2 linked regions of the Coturnix japonica genome follow. The protein of the gene in region 1 interacts with the protein of each later gene in a pairwise test. Links are inferred from orthologs where the notes say so. Each region holds a gene or a part of one and is shown on either strand. Other genes may lie near its edges. The genes, in order: MYCBPAP and MYCBP.

Region 1 (4,599 bases):
ACTTACAGCACTGCAGTGCTCGTGCAGCAGCCCACACCAGCCCTGTGCTTACTGCAGGCCCAACCAAAGGCAACTGGGAAGCAGCCTCTGTACCACTGGGAGGGATCACCTCGTCCTGCTGCTCCCTGCACACTCCCTTACCTGTTTCCATCTTAACAGTGTGGGGCTTCCCCACGTGGGTGACAGGCTCAGGGCAGCCCCGTTCTGTCCGTGTCAGTGTCACCGTCAGACCCGTCAGCTCATCCCCAATGCGCTCAGGTTGGCTCCAGAACTCACTTCCTACTCGGTAGCCCTATGGAAAAACAATGCTCCAACCAGCACCCTCAGGGATGTGCAGCTGTTTGCCACTTCCACAGGGACTGGCAGCTGAAAAGAAGGTGGTACCTCGCTCTGCCCGTGCAAATGTTTTAGAAGACCATAAATAATCACCCCCTGCCCCATATCCCCCTCTCTGCATGGAAGGACTTTGGCAATGATCTGAGGACAGATCTGCGCGGCTCGTATTTGCAGCAGCAGCACCTCAGCTCCTTCACAAGAACGGAGCAGCCAGGAGGCAAAGGAAGGGGGCTCTCACCTTCCCAGGAAGCAGAGCAGCGAGATTACGGTCAATGAGGTCCCGTTCTTCCTGGATCTGTCTGTAACCCTCCACGATGCTCATCAGCAGCTCATTCTCTGGCTTCTGAAGAATTTCTATAAAGGAATATGAAAGGCACTGTGCTTCTCTGGGCAGATCCTTTACTATTTTCAATGTGTAAACCCCTTATACCACCCTCATCAAGCCCACTGTGTTTCCTGCAGCCAGAACCAGCAGCTCGCCCTGCAGGGCCACCACGGGCAGCAGCACCCACAGCACAGGGAGCCCAGGGAACTCAGGTCAGTGGCAGCAGCAGGACTAACCCAGGTTGGTTCTGGCCATTGCTGTGTGCTGTGCAGCCATCAAACAGCCTCATGTGCACCCAGAATCTCACAGAACAGGGTCCCTCATCCTCTCACCTCCCAGATTCCTCTCCTGCTTCTTCCTGATTGCCATATTGCGGTGCCAGTTCTGCAGAGCTTTGTGTTCTGATGTTGGGCTCTGACGAAACCTTCTCTTTGTCTCCCCTCCACGCTGCTCTTTTAACAATGCAGCAACACGTTGACGAGGAACCTGAATGAGATCCACCATCTGAAAAGAAACAGCAAAACTGACCTCCCAGTGCACACACTGCAGGTACAGCCAGAAACGGAGGATGGGAGCAGAGAGAATCCTTCAGGCTGCAGCACCTTCATGGACCACAGGGAGGTACAAAGATGGGGCACTAAGAACACACTCAGAAATGATGGATTGAGCCAAGTAACTGAACTCAGGCAGTGACGTTATTGCAGCCCCAGCTCTCCCAAAGACGCCTGATCCCATCAGCACAAACACAAGAGGAAGCTCCTGTCAGTCTTCCCTCCACACTCTGTGCCTGCACACAGGACCTCAAAACCCACTATGCAGTTTCTCTGCAGGCAAACCCTCCCCACAGAATGATGAGGAATGAACCCCAATCCTCAGGAATTAACCCCAATCCTCAGGCCTGATGTGTGTGTGACAGGTGCTGAAATCATCATCACACATCATCATTCACCCCTCAAAAAGCACTTTTATATTCAACCTGAGTGTTTCCTCTGGCCAAGGCTTCCATCTCCAGCTCCTGGAGACTTCCCAGCACGTGGTGAGGAAGAATTTCTTCACAGCCCGCATTGAACGGTGCCGGTCCTACAAAGACACCAGCCCCGGAGCAGCTCACTAAGCACATCTGGGCTCGTCACAGCCAAAAACCAAGGGCAGACTGAAGCTCAACCCTACCGGAGAAGCGCGGCGGCTCCCGGGCTGTCCTTGTGAAGGCCGGCCGTGCCACCAGGAGCTGCGCTGCCTTCCTGGCCAACCTGGGCTGGTGTTTCCGGACGAGGAATTTCCTCCTGACCAGGATCCTCCCGGCATCGCGGGGCGGGCGAGGAGCGTGGAGCTGCGGGCAACAACCACAGCACTAGGTACAAAGTGACCTCTGTGTTCCTTCTGACCCACCCGGACACACGGGGAGCCCCATCAGCTGGGGGAGAAACTGATCCCAGCACCCAATGTGAGCCTGCACCATGAACCTGCACCATGAACCTGCACCATGAACCTGCACCATGAACCTGCACCATGAGCCTTCCCAGCCGGGTGCAATGTGAGGCCGCTGCTTTGTCTTATGTGACTGCAGACACCGGGCAGTTCCCAGCCCGCTGCTCTGAGCCCACGTTACAACCGGGGCAGGGGAAGGAGCCGAAAGTTCCCCATAGTTTCCTGTGCTGCTCGATGCTGAACGCTGCCCTGCACAGTGCAAAGGGACGGGGCCAGCAGCGGCACAACACAGTGCAGTGCATCGCATTGCATTGCAGTACAGCACAGCACAGTGCATTGCATTACACTGCAGTCCATTGCATTGCATTACATTGCATTGCATTACATTGCATTGCATTACATTGCATTCCATTGCATTACATTGCATTGCATTGCAGTACATCGCAGCTCGGTGCCGTGTCCCGCCCCGCTCTCACTCTGTGCAGCTCCTCGTCCCGCACCGCCAGTTCTCGCACATCCCGGACCCGCAGCGGACACAGCGCGGGACGCGGCTCCTCGGGTTCGGGCCGGGCCGGCTCCGGCGGCTCTGAAACGCACAACGACGGGCCGGGTCAGCGCCGGGAGCAGCCGTGCACCGCCTGGGACGCGGCCCCGGGTTTAATGATGGAGGTGGTTCCGGTGGTTCCGGTACCGGACGGGGTTGGGGACGCGTTCCGGCCCTTCCCTCGCCCTTCCCTCCTGCGCGGCGTGCGGCCCGAGCCCGGCATCCCGCGGAACGGCGACACCGCAGCCATGGCAACGGGCGGCCACCACCGAGACGAGCGGACAGAGCGGCCCCAACGCCGCCGCTCTATGGTGCCACTCTACGGTGCTACTCTATGGTTCCGCCCCGCCCCGCTCCCGGCACAGACCCACGCGGGATGTCGATGCTGTGATGGAGCCGCTGTTGTTCCGCTCCATCCGCCCGCCCCGCATCGCCCCGCACCGCGCGGCTCATCCCGCGCTCCGTCCCCCGCCGTCCTGCTCCATCTGCTCCCAGCGGTGCCGCAGTTGCCGCAGCAGAGCGGGCAGCAGCGAGTCCAGCACGGGCAGCCCGGCAGGGGAACAGCGCAGAGACCTGGACGGGATGGGACGGGACGGGACGGGACAGCTCAGCATCATCACACGGCTCAGCATCACACAGCTCAGGCCCGTCCCGCATTGCTGCCCGCCCCGTGCCCGCATCGCTGCCCGCCCCGTGCCCGCCCCGCCGCTCACCGTCCGTCCAGCCGCACCCAGCCGTTCTCCTGCAGTTCTGCCGCTTCCCCCGACGCCCCGAACGCGGCGTCCAGGCTCAGCCGTGGGGAGAAAACCCCCCATCGCTGCGGGGATGGATGTTCAGCGGCGGCTCCTTATTGCGCTGCCCGCCGCTCACCCGCCGCTCACCTGATGCGTGACGCCCTCAGCCGTGCGCAGCCCCAGCGCCAGCAGCTCCTGCAGCCTGCGGGCACGGCGGGTGTAGGGACGGGGGAAGCACAAAGGACCCCCCACCCCCGGCCCCATCCCGATGCTCACTGCTCCAGCGGGCTCAGCGCTGCTCTCCGCCGGGTGCCGTGCCCGCAGCTCCGCACCTCCCGCATCCACGTGTCAGGGTGCGGTGTCTGTACACGTGCCTCCCGCACGCGGCCGCCCTCACCCCACGGCACGAAGCGGCCGTGAGCCCCTGCGAGGGAGCAGAGAACGGACGGTGCAGAGAGCGGACAGGGCGCAGGGCACACACAGCCCCGCATAGTTACCAATACCAGCCCCAGCACTTACCCGGCCCCACACCCACGTACTGCTCTGCCCGCCAGTAGGACACGTTGTGTGCGCTGTGGGCGCCCTGCAGGACAGCGGTGCGGTCAGTGAGGAGGGGCTGCGCCCGCGGTGGGGGCACCAGGCGGGGGCTCCTCACCTGCCGGGCAAAGTTGGACACCTCGTACTGGTGGAAGCCGGCGGCCGCCATCGCGGTGCGGGCGCTCAGGTACATGTCGGCCAGCAGCTCCTCGGGGGGCTCAGGCAGGACCCCCCGCCGCACATGAGCCTCCAGCTTCGTGCCCCGCTCCAGCGTCAGCTGGTACAGCGCCAGGTGGTGGTCGCACAGCCCCAGCGCCGCCTCCAGGCCGCGCTCCCAGCCCTGCAGGCTCTGCCCCGGGAGCCCGAAAATGAGATCGAGGGAGGTGCGGCCGGGGAACAGCTGCCGAGCCGCATCCACCGCCGCACGCGCCTCCGCCGCCGTGTGGTCCCGGCCCAGCAGCCGCAGCTCAGCATCGTCCAGTGACTGCGGACGGAGCGCGGTGACAGCGGGGCCGCGTGGGAACGGAGGGGTGGGATGGAACGGGATGGAACGGGATGGGATGGGGCGGCCGCGCTCACCTGGACGCCGAGGGACAGGCGGTTGATGCCGGCCGCCCTGAAGGCAGCGAGACGCGCCGGGTCAGCGGAGCTGGGATTGGCCTCCAGCGTCACCTCGGCTCCAGCCGGGAGATGAG
Region 2 (4,494 bases), on another chromosome or scaffold:
GCTCTTCTCTGGGAATATCTGCAACTCCTCCAAAAACTCTCCCTTCTGTACTTGGTGGTTATGCCTTTTTAATGGAGAAGCAAACAGACACTGCCATCTACCCAGCCTTAAACTCTGCTCCCATCTTCCAGCCCATTCAAAACAACCACGCAGAAAACAGAGGCAATTACACCCAGCACAACCAGGAAAACAAACTGCCCAAGAAAAGGCCAGCTACGAATGCTTTAGCTGGTCAGACTCCGAATGCCAGCACAGAGTGCAGGGAAGGTTTGCTGGGCAGACCTGCGACTGAAAGGAGGAACTCGCAGAAAGAAGCTGATCAGAAACACCTCCTTGCTGGTACTCAGAATGCAGATACAGCTTCGAGAAGCTTTGCTGAGATGCTGTCGCAGCCTCCCCTGCAGCCTTTTCCTGTTGCCAGCCTCAGAAGACAGCACGGAATCATCTCCTCCTGGAACTGCTGCACAGCAGCTGAGAGTGTTGGATCCTCCACAAACTCCCTTACAAAGAGCAGCAGCAGGAGACGGAGCAGCCTCAGTGCAAGCCAACTGCCCCCCAAAGCTGACACCCGGCACCCCAGCCGCCCCAACACCCCTGATTCAGCAGGGGAGGCCAGCACTGGCTCCAAGCAGAGCAGGGGCTGTGGCAGCCCCCAACCACTGCCCTTATCAGGGCGGCTGTCGCTGTCAAGCAGTGCAAGCAGCCGGAGAGCCCCCACCGACCTGCAGATATAGCATGGCTGCCCAAGCACTGTGCTTGGGTAACTGCTGGGCTTTGTGATAAGAGCAGCCCAGGAGCAGCTTCCTCATTCAGCTTTAACCAGTTCTTCCGCAGAGGTTAAGATAGAAGCTCAGCCCTTTGCTTTTAGCTCAGTAACTTCTTGCTTCGCTGGCGATGGAGGGATGGCTTCAACCTCTGTGCCAATCTTCTGCATTAACCTTCCAGCTAAGGAGAACATATACATCATATACACCATATACATAATATACACCATATACATAATATACACCATACACAACATATACATCATATACACCATATACATCATTTACATCATATATACATCATATACAACATATACATCATATACATCATTTACACCATATACATCATATACATCATATAAATCCACATACAAAGCCACACAGGAGGAGAAGCTGGGATTACAATAGCTGGTAATATGTAAGCAATAAACATAAAAGAACAAATTACAGTCTCAGAATCTATTGTATGGAGACCAGTAAATGAAATGAGGTGGAAGATCCATTCACTGCAGGTGTTTCTCCAGCAGCTGCTGTTTGTGTTCTCAGTGTGTGTGCGTTCAGCTCTGTGTAGATGTAGGGTTGGACATTTTGGATATATTTAGGTGCTATTATGCTCATTTAACCCCATGCTGTGTATGTGAATACCCCATTTGCATTTGACACCTCTATAGCAAAAAACGTGTTGACTTCACAGCTTAAAGAGCAAAGAGACAGCACTGAGGGGCTCGTATGTAGCAGCTCAAGAGTCTGGAAGGTTAGAAAGGAACCCAAAGGGCAGATATAGGGCTCTGAATGGGTTCTTATTGCCAGCCATATAGACCAACATATCTATATAGATACAGGTATAGATACAGGGCCAGGCCGAAGCCTGCAAGCACCGCGCATGCGCAAACCTCCCACAACCGGAAGGCCTAGTCGCAGAGATAGAGACCGGGACTTCCGGTTGGGTCGCCATGCCAACGGTAGGAAGCCGGGGCCGCCATATAAGAGGCGGGCGGTGGCGGTGCGGGCGTTGCGGGGTTAGATGGCGCACCACAAGGTAGGGGCTGCGGGCCCGAGAGGGTGGAGGGGCCTTCCTTATAACCCCCCAAACCCTTGGTGGTGGGGAGGGGTCGAGCTGTGTGTAGGTAGGGATGTGCCGGTGCTCTGACAGTGTGGGCGTCCTCCTTCAGGCCGCGGATTCGAAGAGGGAGCAGTTTCGGCGCTACCTGGAGAAGTCGGGGGTGTTGGATACGCTCACTAAGGGTAAGGAGGATTGAAGGCCTGTATGGGTTGGGTTGGGGCCGAGCAATGGGAATGTGCTGTGCCAGCCCCCTAATACTGGGGTTTAATGGAGGTGTCTGTGCTTATCTGGATAGGAAAGAAAAGCACGTTGAAAGCTCAACGTATTTATCTCTTTCTTATGGCTCACTGTGCTTTAAATGATTGCTAAGGGGTATGATTTAGTGTAGGGTTGTTTTAGGGTTCTGGTTAGGCTGTGGTTGGGCTTGATGATCTTTGAGGTCTTTTCCAATCTGCATAATTCTATGATCCCTTTGTGCTCTCAAGATCCTTTCAACATGGTGTTATATTCCTACTTAATAAAGCACGTTGCTTATGGGGTGTAGCAGCTGTGAGGGGTGTGCTCTGTGCTCAGCCCAGGTGTGTTGGAGCCCTTTGATTTCCTCTGGCTGTGGCTGTGCTGTTGCAATGTGGAAGCAAAACAAATCTTCCAAGCCCTGCAGCAAGCAAGTTTGGCTTCTAACTTTAAGTGTTTAGCTTAAAACTGTGCAGTTTGTGTGGCTGAAAATGGGAGGGAGGCGCTTAAGCTCCTTGAGAAGCATTTATCAAAGCAGAATGGTGGGGTGTGTGTGTGTTATGTCATTCATTTTGTGCTCCATAATCACAGAATGACCCGGGTTGGAAGGGACCTCAAGGATCATGTAGTTCCAACCCCCCTGCCTGGCAGGGCCACCAAACATACACCTTTACTAGATCAGGTTGCCCAGGAGACCCCATAGAGACCCCATAGATCAGGTTGCCCATGGCCCCGTCCAACCTGGCCTTGAACACCTCCAAGGACGGGGCATCCACAACCTCCCTGTGCAGCCTGTTCCAGGGCCTAACCACTCTCCTAGTGAAGAACTTCCCCCTAACATCCAACCTAAATCTTCCCTCTTTTAACTTAAAACCATTTCCCCGTGTCCTGATATTGTCAGCCCTATCGTCCCCTGTGGGTCAAAGAAATCCCTTCTGCCCACCCATTGAAGTATAGGATGCTCTGTTTCACCTTGTGCATGACTAAGATACTATGATGATGATCTCTGTCCTTAACATGAAGGATATAGGTGAGAATCTTGAACATGCTGTGAGCTTGGTGTGCAACTTGTATTTATTCTGTCTGCTGTATGTGTTTTGGAAACTAGAGTTGCATGGATGTCTTATAATGGTTGTTCGTCTTGTATTTGCAGTGTTAGTGGCCTTATATGAAGAGCCAGAGAAACCAAGCAGCGCACTGGAGTATCCTTTCTGTCCTCTATGGGTTGGTTCTTGCTGTTATAAGCAGCCTGTTGAGCTGAGGAAATACTTAACATCACAATATCAGCTTTTTGAAGCATCACCTGGGAGCTTCAGCTCCTGAGAGTCCAGAAATGGAGGCGCTTCGTATGGAACTGGTAGAGCTGAAGGAGAAATACGAAGCTGTGCTGGAAGAGAATGAGAAACTGAAATCCAAAGTAAAAGTCTATTTAGTGTTCAAGTCTTTTTAGTATTCCTAAGTACTTCTGTGTTTGATAAGGGTGCTTTGGCACTTATAATACAGCTAACTTTCACTGCCATAACTGATTATGATGTTATAGGGTTTGGCCTTGGGAATATTATCTCATTCCTTGCCTATATGTAGCTTCTGATGGAAGACTTGTATTCTGAAATGCAGTTTTTGCTAACAAAATAAGTAAATTAAGGGATAGTGGGAAACTCCATCTCATCATTCAGTCCCATTTGTTATCTGATAATGTGTATATGGTTCCATAAGAGCTTTGTAAAGCAGGGCTGGGGGGAAGCTAATGCTTTTCTATTCAGGCATTCCAAAGCAGGAGGGGAAATAGTGTTAGTTATTGAGGCCTGGCATGGGTCTGTGGCTGGGTTTTACCACAGGAGGTCACCCTTTACCCCTATGGAACATTAACATCCAACTCTGCTGCTCCTGTGTCTTTTAAGATGCCCCATCTAACTGATTGCCTCTCTTTAAATCCACAGCTGGCTCAATATGAACCACCTGAAGAAGAGAAGCGTGATGAATAACAGTAGTTTCTCCTTTCGTACCTTGGCTTTATTAATAAAGGGCTTATTGTGAACCGCACTCCTGCTTCTTCTATGTGAGTGCTGTGTGTCTCTGTGGGTATCTCAACTATAAGGACAAGCAGGGGGTGTGCAGCTCTATTTGTGGTCAGTCATTTTACTTCCGTGTGTGTAGGAAGGAGCTGAAAGAGGAAATAACACAGTGTAAGAGTTTCAAAGGCAAAACAACCCCCAACTCTATTGCAGGAGGTAAATTAGAGTGTATAGCATGTGTGTGCAGGCTGAGAAGGGGCTGATCTATGTATATATGGGGCTCCATATATCGGCTCGGCCCCATGTCCCCACCCTCGCCGTCATATGACCGGAGCGTCTCCCAGCACCTCCTCCATCGGCTGCGAGAAGCTTCGTTGTCAACCAATAGGGTCCTAAATGGGTGGGACTTTGCGTTGCA

The links.
Region 2: the proteins of MYCBPAP (region 1) and MYCBP interact in binary tests that used the Homo sapiens proteins (3 or more experiments, as listed by UniProt). The link is inferred for Coturnix japonica from reciprocal best matches to the Homo sapiens genes MYCBPAP and MYCBP.

What each region holds. Positions count from the first base shown.
Region 1 is NC_029533.1:9,056,474-9,061,072, forward strand, and holds the start of MYCBPAP (MYCBP-associated protein), read right to left. Parts: upstream 2,857-4,599; coding exon 2,781-2,856; intron 2,700-2,780; coding exon 2,566-2,699; intron 1,992-2,565; coding exon 1,832-1,991; intron 1,742-1,831; coding exon 1,638-1,741; intron 1,166-1,637; coding exon 994-1,165; intron 691-993; coding exon 575-690; intron 293-574; coding exon 142-292; intron 1-141. Other genes in the region: RSAD1 (radical S-adenosyl methionine domain-containing protein 1, mitochondrial), read right to left, coding at 3,083-3,206, 3,347-3,450, 3,515-3,569, 3,644-3,791, 3,887-3,950, 4,023-4,388, 4,484-4,599. UniProt on the Homo sapiens protein: May play a role in spermatogenesis. May be involved in synaptic processes.
Region 2 is NC_029538.1:2,899,095-2,903,588, forward strand, and holds MYCBP (C-Myc-binding protein), read left to right. Parts: upstream 1-1,694; 5' UTR 1,695-1,788; coding exon 1,789-1,803; intron 1,804-1,936; coding exon 1,937-2,009; intron 2,010-3,214; coding exon 3,215-3,263; intron 3,264-3,348; coding exon 3,349-3,478; intron 3,479-4,001; coding exon 4,002-4,046; 3' UTR 4,047-4,104; downstream 4,105-4,494. Other genes in the region: GJA9 (gap junction alpha-9 protein), read left to right, coding at 1-734. UniProt on the Homo sapiens protein: May control the transcriptional activity of MYC. Stimulates the activation of E box-dependent transcription by MYC.